Sus scrofa: one gene and its partners. Each later gene encodes a partner of the first gene's protein in a complex. Links are inferred from orthologs where the notes say so. Each region holds a gene or a part of one and is shown in the gene's direction. Other genes may lie near its edges. The genes, in order: TBL1XR1, GPS2, HDAC3 and CORO2A.

Evidence for each region.
Region 2: TBL1XR1 (region 1) and GPS2 share a complex: the UniProt entries of both Homo sapiens proteins name them as parts of the N-Cor repressor complex. The link is inferred for Sus scrofa from reciprocal best matches to the Homo sapiens genes TBL1XR1 and GPS2.
Region 3: TBL1XR1 (region 1) and HDAC3 share a complex: the UniProt entries of both Homo sapiens proteins name them as parts of the N-Cor repressor complex. The link is inferred for Sus scrofa from reciprocal best matches to the Homo sapiens genes TBL1XR1 and HDAC3.
Region 4: TBL1XR1 (region 1) and CORO2A share a complex: the UniProt entries of both Homo sapiens proteins name them as parts of the N-Cor repressor complex. The link is inferred for Sus scrofa from reciprocal best matches to the Homo sapiens genes TBL1XR1 and CORO2A.

The regions. Positions count from the first base shown.
Region 1 is NC_010455.5:115,485,165-115,489,963, reverse strand, and holds the start of TBL1XR1 (F-box-like/WD repeat-containing protein TBL1XR1), read left to right. Parts: upstream 1-1,735; 5' UTR 1,736-2,016; intron 2,017-2,294; exon of another isoform or gene 2,295-2,402; intron 2,403-2,666; exon of another isoform or gene 2,667-2,828; intron 2,829-2,848; exon of another isoform or gene 2,849-4,799. UniProt on the Homo sapiens protein: F-box-like protein involved in the recruitment of the ubiquitin/19S proteasome complex to nuclear receptor-regulated transcription units. Plays an essential role in transcription activation mediated by nuclear receptors.
Region 2 is NC_010454.4:52,664,374-52,669,336, reverse strand, and holds GPS2 (G protein pathway suppressor 2), read left to right. Parts: upstream 1-1,693; 5' UTR 1,694-1,804; exon of another isoform or gene 1,805-1,913; intron 1,914-1,990; 5' UTR 1,991-2,059; coding exon 2,060-2,153; intron 2,154-2,525; coding exon 2,526-2,635; intron 2,636-2,712; coding exon 2,713-2,825; intron 2,826-2,960; coding exon 2,961-3,040; intron 3,041-3,127; coding exon 3,128-3,210; intron 3,211-3,385; coding exon 3,386-3,539; intron 3,540-3,646; coding exon 3,647-3,736; intron 3,737-3,842; coding exon 3,843-3,922; intron 3,923-4,008; coding exon 4,009-4,104; intron 4,105-4,277; coding exon 4,278-4,361; 3' UTR 4,362-4,468; downstream 4,469-4,963. UniProt on the Homo sapiens protein: Key regulator of inflammation, lipid metabolism and mitochondrion homeostasis that acts by inhibiting the activity of the ubiquitin-conjugating enzyme UBE2N/Ubc13, thereby inhibiting 'Lys-63'-linked ubiquitination.
Region 3 is NC_010444.4:143,272,406-143,275,512, reverse strand, and holds the end of HDAC3 (histone deacetylase 3), read left to right. Parts: intron 1-1,678; coding exon 1,679-1,898; 3' UTR 1,899-2,325; downstream 2,326-3,107. UniProt on the Homo sapiens protein: Histone deacetylase that catalyzes the deacetylation of lysine residues on the N-terminal part of the core histones (H2A, H2B, H3 and H4), and some other non-histone substrates.
Region 4 is NC_010443.5:239,997,829-240,002,522, reverse strand, and holds the start of CORO2A (coronin-2A), read left to right. Parts: upstream 1-1,558; 5' UTR 1,559-1,682; intron 1,683-4,694.

The DNA.
Region 1 (4,799 bases):
CCCTTTCCTCTGATGATTTTCCTTGCCACCCCACCATCCCAATACATGGCTTGAAAGGGCCTCTGGCTTCTCCCCACCCTCTTTCAAGGGCTCATCAAAAAAAAAAAAAAAAAAAAAAAAAAAAAAAAAAAAAAAAAAAAAAAAAAAAAGGGCTCATCAGGGGCAGGAGCCTTTGACTTTGCTCAAAAAAAAAACACCTGTCTCATCACTGAGCTTATTAGGCCACCCAGAGTCCAGATGTGTAAAAGTTACTTGGAATGAACTTTTTTTTTAAGTATGAAAATTTAGGTCTCTGATACTGAGAGAAAAAGACTATTGCTTTAAAATAATGACTACACCAATTTCCAAATATTGTGATTAAAGTACGAAAACAGAACACCTCACCTAAAAAGGCTGTGAAAATGTTATTTTACTTTAAAGACAGGAATAACCGAAAGTAACAATAAAAAGGTTTCTTCTAGGCCTAATCTTAAGAGTAAGCTGCTTGTTATACACTAGGCTCATACAAAGGTCTTAGAAGACCCCAAGCCCTGATTTTGAGGACTTTAGAAAGATAAACGCATTTGTTTAAAAAAAAAAATGTGGCTTGCTTCCCTTTTTTTAAATAACCCCTTGCATTCCCTTTCTCATATTGTCACATCATCACTCATCTAAGTTACACTGTATAAACCGCCTTGATATGCTACACACATGCAAAAGTACACAAAGTGGATAAACTTGTACTGCCGATGCTGCCTTAGAAGTATGTATTTAGTAAACATTTAGTTACATTATTTTATTTTTGTGAAAAGCGAATTGATCGACCAAACCTTTCAAACAGACCCACCAGACGATAAATACCACCATATGTTTAATTCACTGTACATTTGGGCATAAACACTTCAATTACAGCTTTGTGTTTAGTATCAAAACCCTTTTCTTGTGTGCGTGTTTTCTGTACAGTTCCTGTGCTCTGGATTACATTTTGAGAATCGCTTATTACAGATAAAGCACCTTTCCAGGTACGCTTCCGAGAAACATATGTATTTATGCACACAAAGGTGCGTGCAGATCTTCTCACAAACACATGTCCATATGATGCCTGCGCCGTACTCTCCGCACACGCTCCCTGCGTGCGTTATGGCCCACCTGCCGCACCGCGCCGTCCGGGTGCCCGGGGGCCACGCCGGCCTACCCAGGAAAGTTTACCAGCAATGCCCCCCTCGCGACGGCGCGAGCATCCCCGCCCCCACAGGGCCTTGAGCCGCGCGGCCAACACCCAGGCCTCTCCGCACCCGGCCGCGCGCCGCGGTGGGGGCGGGGCGGTCCGGGCCCGGTGGCGCCTCGGGGCGCCTGCGGGTCTTTCTTTCTTTTTAAAAGGCTGCGCCGAACCCGCCCAGCCCCCCCAGCGCCACCGCCCCGGGCGGGCGGGGAGAGGAGCGGGGCCAGCAGAGGCCCCCCTAGCCGCGCCGCCACCGCCTCCCCGCGTCCGCGGCGCCCCTCCCCCGCCGGCCCCTCCCCGCGCGCCCGCCCGGCGCAGGCCGCTCGGGTTTGTTTTGCTGCGCGGCCGCCGCCGCCGCCGCCGCCGCCGCCGCCGCGGGCCTCGCGAGCTCATTTGTGCCTGGCTGGTCCCCATTCCTCTCTCCCCAGTGTTGAGTGTCTGAGCCGTTGGCTGCTCCGAACCGTTTGGCTCTTTCCCTTAGTAACAGCTTTTACCTTCTGCCTCAATTCCTCTCCCCGCTCGCGCCCTTCCCCCGCGCGCCGCCTCCCCCCGCCGCCGGCCGCGTGCGCCCCCGCCCCTCCCCCCGCGGCGGGAGCACCTCCGCTCGCCACCTGGGGACCCGCGCCGCGCTCCCCGCCCCCGCCCGCCCGGCGCCCATCCCCCGCGCCCTCCGCTTGCCGGGGTTATAATTGCCTCTCACCCCCCGGAGGGGTTATTTTGGGGGTGGTTGGAGGCGGCGGCGGCGGCGACGAGGGGAATTTCCTTGTGCCTCCATTCCCGGGAGGGGGGAGCGCGTCGGAGGCCACCGTTTCCAGGTAAGCGCCGGGGGCCGGACCCCGGGGTGGGGGCTGCGGGCCGGGGCGGGGGGCGCGGGCGGAGGTAGTTCGGGGGCGCCGGCCGGCGGGGGGATGGGCTCAAGTGGAACGTGCATTTTCAACTTGGCCCTTCGGGGAGCTGGGGGTTTGGTGGGGGAGGGAGAGAAAGGAAAGGCATTTAGGGTGCCCCATCCCCCCTTTTAGCTCTCTCAGGCTTCTTTGAAATGCTCACGTGCCTGCCCACCCCCTACCCTTTCCTGGTCCCGGGGGATCCTCACCCTTATTATGCTGTTGTCCCCGAAAATGTGCACCTCGGCCTTCTCCCCATCTTCCACCCTTCATCCGTTTACACCCCCTTTGTGTGTGAGTGTGTGTGTGTGTGTGTGTGTGTGTGTGTGTGTGTTGTATAGGGGGAGGCTTTCAGGAAGGAATGTGCAGCAAATTGAATCAAGGAGCCATCATGAGGCCGACTCCTTTATAGCCTATTTTTAGCAGGGGAGAGGGATCTCTACTGTGCGTGTTATTTTGTTAAACCTTAGGCAGCAATGGAAATCCGCTCCCCTCCCCCGGCGCGGCCCGGGCCCAGGCGCGGCGACCCCGGCCGGCGTGCGGGGGGCTGCGGGTGGCTGTTAGGGCCGTGCGTCCCGGGCGGGGGCGCGGGCGGGGGAGGGGCGCGCGGCGGCGGGGCCGCACTCCTGGACGTGTTTGTTTGTAACTTAGTGCTTTTTATCGTCTGGAGAAGATATTTGATAGAGCCACTTTGAAGTTGGGTTCAGAAGTGTAGAATTGGCAAAGTTATTGCCAGCTTCCTGGTAAGTTTTGGGTGGCTCAGAGTCACATTATTTTCTGACAGTGTAAAGGCCACGTTGTGAGGGTGGTTTCTTGGTAACTTCCTCTTTGCAACCGATGTCATTTTTTGAACAGAAACAGACTTTTATTTAAGTGAAATATTAATCTGAAATGGCAGTTCAAGGGAAGCCATGCATGTGTTAACGTGTTCAGTATTTTTGGAAGTTCCTAATTTGCTCAAACAGGCATCACTTTGCAGTGGCAACCGAGAATAAATTTAGGTTTGTGAAAATGGTGTTTCACGTGAAATTTTGGTTGTAATGGCTCTTAAAAAACCCTCCCGTTTTTAGGTTATCTAATAACATTGTCGAAAATAATTTGGTGATTAAAATTTACAAAAGTGTTGGAACCTAGTTTAAAACTTGCTCTTTCTCAGTGTCCGGAGTTTACTTAAAACCGTGTACTGTGCAGGCACCAAGGTGAAGAGTTTTAGTACATATGTGATTTTACAGTTGACTGAGGGAAGTTGACTATTGGCTTTCTTGTTTTCCAAACAAGACCCTTATGCTAATCTAAACAAGCTTGTTAATAAAATATGGTGGGTGAAATGATGGGTTATTTTTAGTCGGAATGGTTTGATTTCCCCTCCCCCATATAATCACCCCCCCTTCCCCCGTTTTTCTTAAAGACTCCTTTATCGGATATAAGGCCCTGGTGGTGTTTTCATTTACTTACCTAAAGAAATTGTAATATATATCTTGGTTACACATTGGAAGTACAATGGGTGACTTTTTTGTTTTCCCAATGTGGTTTATTTTCATTTTTGTTAAATAAGATCCATGTTGCTTGGTGTATTTTTGTAATCTTGACTTACTGGGACTGTATGTTCTCACCATTTATAACAAGTTTATAGTCTAGGGAAATAGGGCAGCTTTGTCTCCATGAAAACAGTGTGTAGGGTTGTATCGTGGGAGTTCATGGCAAGCAAGTTTCGGAAATTATCATTGAGCACGTTCTAGAAATAGTTAGCATTTACCTGTGGAGGAGGGGCAGCAGAAGGAGAATAGGCCTGAGAGTGGTTAGGCTCGTGATTCCTGTTTATACTTTTTGCTCTTAAATCAGGTTTTTCTGCTTCTTTGGAATATGATGTTTTGTCCATTTCTGCTGTCATGTACTGTGTGATATATGTAATCATAACCATTAAGTCCATACATAGATAATTACTATTTTTTGCCATTTGAGTAGTTAAAATCAGACCTAGAGGACAAAATACTAAGCTGTGTGGGGGATGAAAATAGTATGCACATTGAAAAAAGTTTTTTTTTTTTTTTATTGTTAAGGAACTTAATTAAGGGACTTACTAATGGCATAAAAATTGTTTCATAGCTCATCACCAGTTTATGATTTTTCTTCCAGCATATATCAACTTTGGTTATTAATATGGGAGACACCCTTGGTAAATGGAATGGCCCCTTTTGAAGGTTGTATTTTTTAATTGGTTGCTTCAAAGAAGTGTTAAATATTTAATAACTTTTACGTATTCTCAACATCTCAATATCAAATTAAGATTTGTCATGATTACTGTGATACATTCCTACCAAGAGATCACTGCTTCCTCTGTACTGGGGGCCTATCAAGCAGATGGGGTAGAAGCTTAACACACAGGGGTTACTGGTAAATAGAAATATGACTGATGGACCTTTTGAATGGCAACCTGTTGAATGAATAATCGGTTTTTATATGGCAGTGAAATATAAGTACCACTTTATCAAATAAGTAGCTGACAGGACTCCTCCTCCAATTTACTCCAGCAATTATTACTACAAAGAATTTTTGACTTGATGCATTTTGATGAAGTTAGTATAAATAATTTGTTGGGTTTGTTCAGTTTCTGTGTTATTTATATAAAAAGAATTGAGAAGAATGTGACTAGTAAGGAAGTCAGAGGAGAGGACGGCAAAAATATTGGCACTGTCTGGGACTTTGTATTTTTC
Region 2 (4,963 bases), on another chromosome or scaffold:
GAGACCCTGGCATCCAAAGTGCAGTGAGTACCTGGGAGGGGCCCAGGGCTGCTCAGATCTGGTGTTACCCTCCTTCCCAGCCCATCTCCACCCAGCCCTCACACAGTCTTTGAACAAAGACCTCTTACTTGGTCCTATCACACAGAACAAAAAAGGGAACCCTAGCCACGTGGAACTTCTGCCCTCTCTTGCTCTGGAGTGTTTGTGCCTAATGAGTGTTTAGTAGTTAGTATCTTTGAAGGTGACATGTAAATACTATGGAAACAAAATGTAGAGTGGAGTGAGGTGGATCAGAAGCGTGGCAGGACCCGGCCTATGAAATAGGGTAGTGGCGGCAGACGTCATTAAGAAGGTGGGATTTGGAGTTCCCGTCGTGACTCAGTGGTTAATGAATCCGACTAGGAACCGTGAGGTTTCGGGTTCCATCCCTGGCCTTGCTCAGTGGGTTAAGGATCCGGCGTTGCCGTGAGCTGTGGTGTAGGTTGCAGATGTGGCTCGGATCCCACTTGCTGTGGCTCTGGCGTAGGCCGGTGGCTACAGCTCTAATTAGACCCCTAGCCTGGGAATCTCCTTATGCCATGGGAACGGGCCTAAAAAAAGAAGAAGGTGGGATTTGAGCAAAGGCCTGGAGAGGGGAGGGGAGGGAGCGAGGGGAGCGGGCATGGGAGGAAGACCCTTGGGAGGAAAGGGCGGAGCCAAGTCCCAGTAAGGAGGGGCTGATGCCTGGCAACAGCAAGGCCAGCTGCTCAGGCTCGCGGTCACCGTCAGGGCGGTGGTTGCAGCCAGCAAGAGCGAGGGGTACTGGGAGCAGAGGCCTCACTGTCCCGTTTCTGCTTCTTGCCTGCCAGATTCCGGGACCCCAAATCCCAGCGGACGCACCAGGCCCAGGTGGCGTTCCAGGTGTGCGTGCGCCCTGGCTCCTACACCCCCGGGCCCCCTTCTGCTGCCCTCAGAGAGCCTCCCGACCCTCACTTCAGCCCAGCTGAACTCGAGTGGGTGACCAAGGAGAAGGGGGCCACGCTCCTCTATGCCCTGCTGGTACGGGTGGAATGAGGGGTGACACCGCACTACGACAAGCACAGCAGGGCCTTGGGCCCGTGGACTCTGAGTGACGACTGCCTCCACCTCATTCCAGTGACGCGCGGCATGCACGGTGCTCAGCCTGGCAGATGCACAGGAGCATGTAGGCGGGCTCGCAGAGGAGCGCCCGGGGCCGGGACTGGACAGCCCCTCGAGGCGAGGGCGGCGAGGGGTCCGGCCGCCGGCCCTGGGGAACCCTCTCCATGCACTGATCTGGGGAGCGCGCCTCCCCGCCACTCCTCCCCCTACACTTAATTTATTTCCGTTTCTGTTCCTGGTTACTGTGAAGGCCAGAGGCGCCTCCCCGCGCCCCACACGAAGCTGCTTTTCCGGGCCGGGCGGGAGTGGGGAAGGCGGGCGCGGGTCGGGGCCTCTGTACAGTTGTTACTGACTCTGATTTCTAAGGAGCCAATAAACGCCGTCTCAGAGCAGCCGCCTTGGCCTCTCGCGCGCGCGCCTCTCGGTCCCCCCCGCCCCGACCCGGGAGGAGACCCGGCCCCGCCACGTCAGGGGCTCCGCCCTCGGGGTCGACGCCGGGCGGGGCGCAGCGGAGGCGTTTGGACGCCGCGGGCACCCGTCGCCCGCGCTTCCGCCTTCCCGCCCCGCCCCGCCGGCCCGCGAGCGCCGCGACAGCCTCGACTCCGGAAGGATTCGGCCCAGCGGCCGGATGTGACGCCACGGCCCAGGCGCTCGGGAGGCCGCGGAGAAAGCGACGAGAAGACGGGTAGGGAGGGGCCGGCGCCCGGGTAGCGGGCAGGGAGCGGGAGCGCCGAGGCCGAGACCCCCGCCCGCGCTCGCGGAGGAGCCGCGCTGTTAGGCCGGCCCGGCGGCAGGCACGTGACCGGGGCGGCGGGCGAGTGGCTTCCGCCCCGGCCTGGTCCGCTCCCTCTGAGCGCCCGCCTCCCCGCAGGCCCGGTCTGAGGTCTGGCAGCCAGTGACAGAGCCGGGCGTCCACGGCCCGAGCGCCCCCAGCAGCACCATGCCTGCGCTCCTGGAGCGCCCCAAGCTTTCCAACGCCATGGCCAGGGCGTTGCACCGGCACATCATGATGGAGCGGGAGCGCAAGCGGCAGGGTGAGCTGGGGCCAGAGCGGGAGGACGCACGGCCCGGGGCGCGCTGCTCTCCCGGGGCTGACCCCGACCTACGGGCAGACCCTGCGCGGCGGCCACAGCTAGAGGAGGGACCGATAGCCCCGACGTGGCGGGAGTCTGAGGCCAGATCTAAACTCCAGAACCGTGAGCTGGCAAGGACCTTGGAGAGCACCTAACAAACTTCCCTGTCCCCAGTGTCCTCTTGCAGTGGTGGGCAAACCTGTTTCTTTTAGAGGGAAAGAGTTCGTACCAAGTGTAGTGGGATACCAGTTTTTGCTGGCTTTCAATCGCTAACATTCTAATCTTTTAACCACTCTGCCACTTCCCCATTCTGCCTGACTCTGACTCTTCCAGAGGAAGAAGAGGTGGACAAGATGATGGAACAAAAGATGAAGGAAGAGCAGGAGAGAAGGAAAAAAAAGGAAATGGAAGAGAGAATGTCACTAGAGGAGACCAAGGAACAAGTAAGCAGTCCCTTGATCTCTCCCCAGCCCTTTCTGCCCTTGGCTCTCTTGCTTTCATCCCTCTCCTTCCTTCCCAGATCCTGAAGTTGCAGGAGAAGCTTTCGGCCCTCCAGGAAGAGAAGCACCAGCTTTTCCTGCAGCTCAAGAAAGTTTTACATGAGGAAGAAAAACGGAGGCGGAAGGAGCAGAGGTGAGATTGGGCAGCTAAAAATAAAATTGGGGCCCAAAGTCTAACTGGGATCAGGTAACAAGAGATCAAGTTTTTTGCGGGAGCGGAGAGGGGAAAAGGCTTGCCTTTGATCTGATGTGCCTGCCTCTTGTTCAGTGACCTGACCACTCTGACATCGGCAGCATACCAGCAAGGCCTGACTGTTCACACAGGAACTCACCTCCTCAGCATGCAGGGTGAGGATTAAAGAAACCACTTGTCAGATGGGCCTTCCTGGGGGTTGCAGCCTCTTCTTGCAGCATCACAAGCCCGTCTCCCTCTAGGGAGCCCCGGAGGACACAATCGGCCAGGCACCCTCATGGCAGCTGACAGAGCCAAACAGATGTTCGGCCCCCAAGTGCTTACAGTAAGAGCAGGAGGACTGGGTATCTAGGCTGTCATTTACTCCCGCTACTTCCAGCCGGCCTCGCATCCTTACCCAACCAGCATTCAAGTCATGAGTGTGTTGGGGAAATGGGGCTTTCAGTCACTCAAGTTTTTGCTTCATGGAGTTTACAGTGGTTCTCGTCCTCCCTCCTTAGAACCGACACTACGTGGGCTCAGCAGCTGCTTTCGCAGGGACCCCGGAGCATGGGCAGTTCCAAGGCAGCCCCGGCGGCGCCTATGGGACTGCTCAGCCCCCACCTCACTATGGACCCACCCAGCCTGCCTATAGTCCTAGTCAGCAGCTCAGAGGTGAGCCTTGGGCAAAGGGGAGGAGGGGCATTCCTCAAGGCTCTAAGGGAGGAGTGTTGTGAACAGGCTACCAGGAGGTCCTAATGGCTGTCTCCTGCCTTCCTCAGCACCTTCGGCATTTCCTGCAGTGCAGTACCTGTCTCAGCCACAGCCACAGCCCTATGCTGTGCACAGCCACTTTCAGCCCACCCAGACAGGTGATGGTAGACAGACACCACGCAGGGGCCCAGTTCCAGCGGTCCTCCTCCCTTCCTCTTCGCCTCCTTTCTCTACTCACCTCACACACCCTTCCTCCCCACCTAGGCTTCCTCCAGCCCGGTGGCGCCCTGTCCTTACAAAAGCAGATGGAACACGCTAACCAACAAACTGGCTTCTCTGACTCAGTGAGTAAAATCTTGGGAAGTCAGGGGAAGGGCTGCCCACACTAAGGGGAGCCCCAGGCTGCCTCAGCTGACTTTGTTCTCTGCAGTCCTCCCTACGCCCCATGCATCCCCAAGCTCTGCATCCAGCCCCTGGACTGCTTGCCTCACCCCAGCTCCCTGTGCAGATGCAACCAGCAGGAAAGGTAAGCCCACCAGAATGCCTACATCACCAAGTTGAAAAAAGGACTGGGTAGGACAGGTGGTCCCTGCCCCCCTTTTTCCCTCCTCCTCTGCCATGGCTGTCAGTCCCCTGCGGGAGTAGAAGGAAGGGGAAGGGCGCGCACTGACAAAGCCCTCCTCTCATTACTGCTGCCAGTCGGGCTTTGCAACCACCAGCCAGCCTGGCCCTCGGCTCCCCTTCATCCAGCACAGCCAGAACCCGCGATTCTACCACAAGTGACCATCAGAGTCTATCAACCTCGCTCCCAGCCCCTGCCCCCTACTGTGGGGGAGGATCCCTGGTGTGCCTCAGTCCCAGGCCAATAAAATCTACCTGCCACTGCCCCCGATGCTGCTACTGTCTGTGTTACCTCCCACTGGGCTGCCTGGGGTGGGGGTGGGGGTGGGAGTGGGCGGCAGGTCCGCAGGACGCAGGAATCACAGTGGGACAGCAGATTACCAATCACTTTCTCATTTCCACATTGACTTCCCGGTCAGCAAATACCATTTAATTCAAAGAAGCAGCTGAGTTGGGGGCTTCATATTAAACTTGTAGTTTTATTCAGGTTTGATTTTTAACAAATGTGTCGGGGAGAGAGCCCGCAGGAAAGGGTGAAGCCCATGGGGGGCAGGGCCCTCCCAGATGCCTGAGGAGGGGGCAGGTCCCCTCCCCTCTCCTCCTCTTCCCTCCCATCTAAAGGGACTTGGGGAGAGACATCAGCAGGGGAGGGGGCTGGTCCCCAGTCTGTTGGGGTGGTGCTTGGGATAAAGGGCTATGGGGGAGTAAGGGACCAGACCAGGGACGAGTGTGGGAAGGGCACAAGGACCATTTGCCAGAATCCA
Region 3 (3,107 bases), on another chromosome or scaffold:
CCCAGTCCTCATGAATACTAGTGGGATTCATTTTTGCTGCACCACAATGGGAACTCCCTGAGTTTGTTGTTTGTTTTTTCATCTGTAGTTCCAGGCTGGTATCTGGGTCTCGTCTCTGCACTGTGCACAGTCCTCTCTTAACAGCCAGTAGAAGCCTCGAGCCTTTTCCTGTCCTAAGCCCTGGTCACTGTCAGATTACCCACTGAGCTCCTTTTCTTTGCTACCTGGAGCTCCATTTGCAGAATCGTACTGAGAGTTACCACTTTTTGTGGGTTTGCTAAGCAGAGGAGTGAGTGCTTTATATTAAAGTACAGGTGATACATGTCGTCGTGTCCTCATTCTCTTGCCATCAGACAACCCTAAGAGGTTGTATCCTCCTTAAATTACCAGAAGAGGAGGTTACATAACTGACTTAACAGAGGTCCCACAGCTAGTCAGGTAAATATCAGGGCTGAGATGCAAAGCTGAGTCTCTGAGCCTCACCTTATAACCCTGGTGCCCTTAGAGGTCCCTCAGACTTTGCTTTCCAGGCAGAGGGGGCCTTTCCTGCTTGGGTCCCCAGCTTCTCTTTGATGCCTTTCTCCCTTCTTTCTCGCTTACCAGCTGTGGGCAAGATAATTCCATTATTAGTCATTCCCGTTCTCCCAGAGGGCAGTTTTCCACACGCACGAGAACGGCGTTGAATACTCATTGGGCCTTGCATTGCTTTCACGCTCCTTTGCTCTCTAGAGGTTTATTGGATGCCATGCCTCTGTTTAAAGCGCTTCTTTCCATTGCACTAGAAGAAAAGCCAAGTTTCCTTTGTTTTTTTTTTTGGTCTTTTTGCCATTTTCTAGGGCCACACCCATGGCATATGGAGGTTCCCAGGCTAAGGGGTGGAATCGGAGCTGTAGCCATCAGGCTACACACCACAGCCACAGCAATGCAGAATCCGAGCCGCGTCTGCAACCTACACCACAGCTCACAGCAACGCCGGGATCGAACCCACAGCCTCATGGTTCCTAGTCGGATTCATGAACCGCTGAGCCACGACGGGAACTCCTAAAGCCACGTTTCTGATGGTGGCTTTCTAAGGACTTGCGTGCTGGCCCTTCCCACGTGCGGGCTCCTCTCTGAGGCCCCTCCGCCCTCCACACGTCTGACCGTCCTGACCCCCTTCTCTTGCTGGAACCCGTCCGCTCCGTCGGCCTTCGAACCTCTGTACTGGTGTCCTCACGGGTTGGACCGCCCTTCCTGGGCGGCTCCTTCGCAGGGGAAGGTCCTCCCTTCTTCCTCCAGCCTTTCCTGACAATCCTGCCTGAGGTTTTCCCCTCGTCCTCCCACACTCCCAGCCACGTGCTTTCCCCCCTGAAATGACCGTGGTTATGTTTTTACTTTGTTACTTATCGTCAGCCTCGTTTATTGGAGGGGTTTTTGAGGCTAGGCAGCCATTCTGTCTGGCTTGCTCTCTGCTCTCTGGCTATGGCAGTGCCTGGCACAGAGTGCTCTCTCAGCAGGTGTTTATGGATGCATGAATGGGCGTGTGAATCCTGACTGGTCGCTACGAGCAGGAGGAGAGGCGCGGTTCCCCGACAGCGGGGGCCTGGGAAGTGGCTCCAGAGAGGGTGCCTGTGGGGGAGAAGATGGGAATTGGAGAGTGGGAGCCTGACCTCTCTTCCTGTCTTTCCTTGCTTTGTAGGCCGGAGGCGCCCAATGAGTTCTATGACGGAGACCATGACAATGACAAGGAAAGCGATGTGGAATTTAAGACTGACTGGGCTTGCCGTGTCCCCAGGAATTTCTTTTTTCCTCTTAGTTGGGTGGGAGGGAAAGGTGTGACTCCCCTACCCCTGGTCTGGTTACTTTCAGGGCAGTTACCAACACCGGGGGAGGCTTTGGAGACCACCTCTGGTTCTTGAACCAGCTGTTCCCTTTCTTCTCCCTCCAAGGCTAGACCACGGTACCTGTTAGGGATCGGATGGGGATAAGGATAGACGTCTCTAGGACCTCTCGGGCCGTGGGCCCTAGAGGCCAGTCCCAGCCCTTCTGGCTTCCTCATTCCTTCTCTGCTTCCCTCCAACCCAGAGACTTTGGGGATGAAGGAATAGGCAGCAGTACGGTTGCTTCTGACGTCCACCTCCCCAGGCTTCTCCTACTGCAAGCCTTGCTTCCAGGTGAAGAGTAAGGGATTTTAGGGAGCCCTGGCCCCCTAATACTTTAACCCAGATAATGGGAAGTGTGACTTGGAAAGGGGGGAGGATATGAAAATGTCCTGCTCTAACTTTTGGCTTTATGTCCATTTTACCACTGTTTTTATCCAATAAACCGAGTTGGTATTTTTTGTACCTTTTGCCTTCTGGGAATGTTTTTTTATTTTTTGGCTTTTTTGCATTTTCTAGAGCCGCTCCTGAGGCATAGGGAGGTTCCCAGGCTAGGGGTCTAATCGGAGCTGTAGCCACCGGCCTACGCCAGAGCCACAGCAGTGCGGGATCTGAGCCGCGTCTGCAACTACACCACAGCTCACGGCAGCGCCAGATCCTTAACCCAATGAGCAAGGCCAGGGATCGAACCTGCAACCTCATGGTTCCTAGTCGGATTCGTAAACCACTGCACCACGACGGGAACTCCGTGGGAATGTTCTTAATTCTTGCTAGCTGTCTGTGCACGAAGAGCGAGGAGATGGGTTAATATGTATATAATAAAAATCATGGTAAACATTCATTCTGCACGTACGTTACCTTAGGACATGTGTATATTATTCCATGTGGATGATCTTCCTTGTATGTGGAGGGTTAACAGAGCATTCTAGTCAAGAGTTAGACAAACCTGGGCAGAGCAGTTACTTGAGGAGGAGTCGATTCAGGTGTTGGACGCTAGGTGTTGGGAATGGTGATGCTGATTGCTGAACGAGCACTGAGAGGAAACATGCCAGGTCCTGAGCCTGCTGTAAGCAGTTGCTCATTATCTTCATTGTCTTTGTGAAAAATGATGCCAAATACTGTGGTAGCCACAAACACGGACTCTTCCCTGGAGGCGTTTCCAGTCCAGCAGGGAGTGAGATAAATGCTGTGGTAGGTGTAGACGGGGGACAAGAAAGAAGAGTCATAGTTGGATCACTTCGGCCATGC
Region 4 (4,694 bases), on another chromosome or scaffold:
CCCATCTCAATAAGCAATAAGGCCCAAAAGAAGGTGCCAGCAAATGGGCCCAACTCTGGGGCCAGACCTACTGTGTGGTTTCATAGCTAGGGAACTCTGGGCAGGTCATCCCCACTCTGGCTTCAGTTTCCCCATGTGTGCAATTCACATGGTCAGAGGTAGCCTTCATAAAATGAACCAGGATAACAGGAAAGGACAGGACAAGAGAATGAGGAACACACACGTGCAGGGAGCATCTCTAGGAAAGGTACCACCTTCTGTCTATTACAGAGGCTTCCAATGGTCTCCCCTCTGGCCCATTGGTCCTATGCCCATGTGGAACCAGAGAGGTCCCCAAACACAGTCCCAGCCGCCTATCATCATGGCAACTGCGGTGATGCATTTAAGGTGCCCAGAACAGTGCCCGGTTCTTCAGGAGTTGGGAAGATGCAGATATGAGGCTGGGAGGGAATGTCCACAAGGGTTCTGGGAAGCCTTCCTGGGGAAGGACATGGAAGGAAGAAATGAATCTGTTTAGACAGTAGACCATGATATGGGAAGAGAATTCCTGGCAGAGAGGACTGCGAACAAGGGCACAAAGATATGAGAGTGCAAATGGGTAGGAAATGCATACCATAGTTACTGGCTGAAGCCCTAGGTGAATTAAGACATTCGGGTGAATTAACACTTACTGAGCCAGGCACTGTTCTAGGCCCTGGAGATACACCACTGAACAAACAGTTGTTCTCATGAGAGACGGTGTGGTGGAGTGACTATAAGCTTGGGCTTGGGAGCCACACTGCCTAGGGTTGTACTGATACTGGTGTCATCTTAAGAAAGGTACTTAACCTCTGTGAACTTCAGATTTCTTATGTGTAAAATAGGTAAAAGCTAACCTAGTAGGTTTATGTGTCGATAAACTGCGGTGATGCATTTAAGGTGCCCAGAACAGTGCCCGGTTCTTCAGGAGTTGGGTGGTGATATTACAAAAAGGCTGGGCTTCCCCATCTCCGCCCCCACTGCCCAAGGCGGCAAGACTAAGCAGCAGCGCCCCCTCTTGGCTACCGATAGAAAGAAGGGCGTCCTCCCATACTCAGAGATCCTCCCTGCCCTCTTCCTCTCGACGTACCGGGAACCCCCAGGAATTACTCCAACAGCTCGGGTTCACCAAGCGCTACTCCTGTGGCCGTCTCTGAGTGCGCACATTACTGCGCCGGTAAATTAGATCGTCACTTCCAATTCTCAAACAACTCTGAAGCAGACACGGTTTGTTTCCACTCCACCTAAGGGTAAAGTGACCCTCCCGGAAGGATCGAATCCCTTGTCTCATACCACTCCGCGAGAAAGCGACGGGATGTGAAGGAAGGCAACCCCAGCCTCTACTCGGTCCCCGGGGAGCCCGCCCCATTCACTGCGGCGTGTGCGCGCCGCTGTGCGAGCCCTTTCTCTGTGCGAATGCGCGCCCCGAGACAAGCTCCGGGGTACCAGGAACGCGGCCCAAGGGCCGAGGAAGGAAGGGTGGCCTGGCGGACTCGCGGGCGGGGCTTGTGCTCGGCCCCGGCCCCTCCCACCGGCCCCTCCCGCTGGGCTGAGGGTGGGAGGAGGCGGCAGCGCTGGGCGCGGGGACTCGGCGGGCAGCGAGGAGCTCAGAACCAGAGCCAGACGCCGCCGCCGCTACCGCCACCTGCGCGGCCGTCATCAAGGTAGGGCGGTCCCGGGCCGCCGGGCTATGCCTTCCCCGTCTGCGCGATGTGCTCGTGCTGCGCCTCTGAGCTGCAACGCCTGGGGAGGGATGCTGGGGCTCGGCGCACCGCTGGGGACCTGGCGGGACGCGGGGAACCTGGCGTTCGACACCTCTGCGTGACCTTGCAAAAAGCACTGCTTCTCTCCAGGCCTCAGTTTCCCCATCGGGATAGCGGGCACAAGGATGGCCCCTTCGTCGCTGGGCTGTGGGGAGGGGCCGCCTCAAGCTCCAGGCTCCCGACGGCGCAGGGTCGGATGGGCACTGTCTGCACAGCCCACCCGCAGTGAGGGCTGCTCTTGCTGGGTGTGGCAAGCCGGTCCCGACAGTCCCCCCTAGTGGCCTGGGTGCCCCGCGGGACCCGTGTTGGGACTCTTCCCTCTCCTGGCTGGGTAACCTGCTGGGCCTCAGCTTCCCTGCACAGGAAACATTAATAGGCGACACCCCCAGGTCCCTGTCAAGCCAGCCTGGGCATGCAGGGTGGGGCAGTCAGAGTCTAAGCCTAGTCTTCCTCGCGGTCTGGGGCTGGAGGAGCCCTAGGTTGGAGGTGGTGGAGCCCTCTGGCACAGACTTGCCTGGACCAGACCCACGCAAGTACCTGGATTTAGGGCATGGTATGCAATGTCTCCCCACCAGGTGCTAACGCCCAAATCTAAGTCCCAGCCTGATGTGATATGGTTGGCTTGTCCATGCATAGACGGACCTAGAGGAGCTACAGTGCCAAGAGATGGTGTTTGGGTGGGGTCGGGTCTGGGACAGAGCAAATGTCTGAGAGACTGTGGCTCCAAGATTTCTGGGTAAAGACGACCTCTGGTGTCTGTCCTGGCCCCTTGGTAAGATCCCTCTGGACCATCTCACTGCCCCACTGCACACCCCTTATGATGGGAATCTCACTCGCTGTAAACAGAGCTAGAGTCTGCTAGTCCTGCTCTGGCACACAGACAACATCTGACCCCTCCATCCCCACCCCAGGGCAATTATCTGGTCCCTTAAATCAGTTCACCTCAGGGTTAAACAGCCCCAGATCCAGAGCTGTTTCTCCTGTCAGAGCCAAAGGGAGCAAAGGCAAGACAAGAGAGCTGAGGTGTCTGCCCTGGAGCAGTTAGTAGTCAGCCTGAGGCTTGTTCAGAACCCACCTTCATCAGGACTGGAATGTGTCCCCTGTACCTCTGGAAAGGTAGCTGCCTTAGAGGTCTGGAGTGAGAGGAGGAGCCAGAGGAGCCTCTCTCCAGCCCTTCCAGCCCAAGGGTCCCTGTCTTCTGTTGCCTGCTCTGATTGAAGGAGTAGTTTCTGAAAATCGAGCCTGGGCTTTCTCGATTGTACCCCCTCCTGACCTGCCCCTCACCTGGGAACTTTCCTACAGCCAAAAGAAGGGGCTGCCAGGATAGGTGATAAGCTCTGTGTCATCAGAGATGTGAGCAAAGGCTGGATGAGCACTTCCCAGGGTTACACTTGACTGTAAGTCTGGGACTCTTAAGGCCAAAATAGAGTAACCAGGGCCTTACCTTCTGGCCATGATGGAGCTGCACAACTTGAAGCTAGACCACAAATGAGTGTTATTATTCTCTCATAAAAGCAGGCTAAGTATATGTGCTATCACCCGAGCGTAGCTCCAATGCACAGGCTTAAGTGCTACCTATGTCTCCCATCATCACTACATGTGTATAATCTGGGCTCTTTTTTCCTGCTCTGCTAGTCCGAGCCATTTGGGCCTTGATTTAGAGGTATGGCAGATTGTGGTTATTAAAAAGTCATCCTGTGCCAATAATTAAAAAATGCACCATGAAATTATGGAATATCCAGCTAAAACAGATCTTAGGAAATCATCTCATCCAACCTCTTCATTTTACAGATAGGTATCCCCTAAGGGGATGTGACTTGTTAAAAGTCACCCAGCAGACAAGCAACCAAGCCCAGGGATCTTAATTCCAGGACCAGAGTGAGTGAGTGAGTGAGTGAGTGAGTGTGAGTGTGAGTGTGTGTGTGTGTGTTTGCTTGTTTGAAAACACATACCATATAGTAAACGAAAGCAATCAGTATTTATTCCTATAAAATTAATAAAAATAAATATAAAAGGATAAATCTCTATGCTGGCAAAGCTATAGGATTCTCCAGCAGCATTTAATTTTGCAGGGCTATCTGTCAGCTCGTTTCAAAAGTCCTATGACAAAGATCCTAACTTCCTTTGCCCCTAGCCTTCTACTTTGAGGACTTTACCCTAAGGAAGTAATTACAGAGTTGAGTGTAGTGCTATTATTTTCTAAAGAAGTTATAGTGAAGAGGTTCTTGGTGTTTTACCTGAGGATTAATAAACTTTTCATTTAAAAAATACAGCTTTAAAAATAGAAACATTAGGAGCTCCCGCTATGGCACAACAGGATCATCAGCCTCGTGGGAGCTCTGGGACTGGGGTTCAATCCCCAGCCCAGCACAGGAGGTTAAGGATCTGGCATTGCTGAAGCTGTGGCTTAGGCCTTAACTACGGCTTGGATCTGATCCCTGGCACTAGAGCTCCGTATGTCTTGGGGCAGCCAAAAATGGGGCGGTGGGGGGCACGGGGTGACACCAAAGCTTCCATTGCTGTAGTCTGGCCAGCACAGGAGCAGTGTGGTCCAGAGGAAAAGCCATGAGACTCATGTCAGCAGATGTAGATTCCAGGATGAACTCTTCCTCCATCCCACCGTGTAAGCTTATGGCAATCCCAGGCCCTTTCTGTACCTCATTTCCCCTATCTGTGAAATGGGGTAGATTCAGTGCTGAGTTTCTTTTAGTTCTGACAACCCACATTCTAGACTTAGCAAATCTCTGTAACAGAAGCCTTTATTAGAAGGAACAGGAGTTCCTGTCATGGCGCAGTGGTTAACGAATCTGACTAGGAACCATGAGGTTGTGGGTTCGATCCCCGGCCTTGCTCAGTGGATTAAGGATCTGGCATTACCATGAGCTGTGGTGTAGGTCATAGACGCAGCTCAGA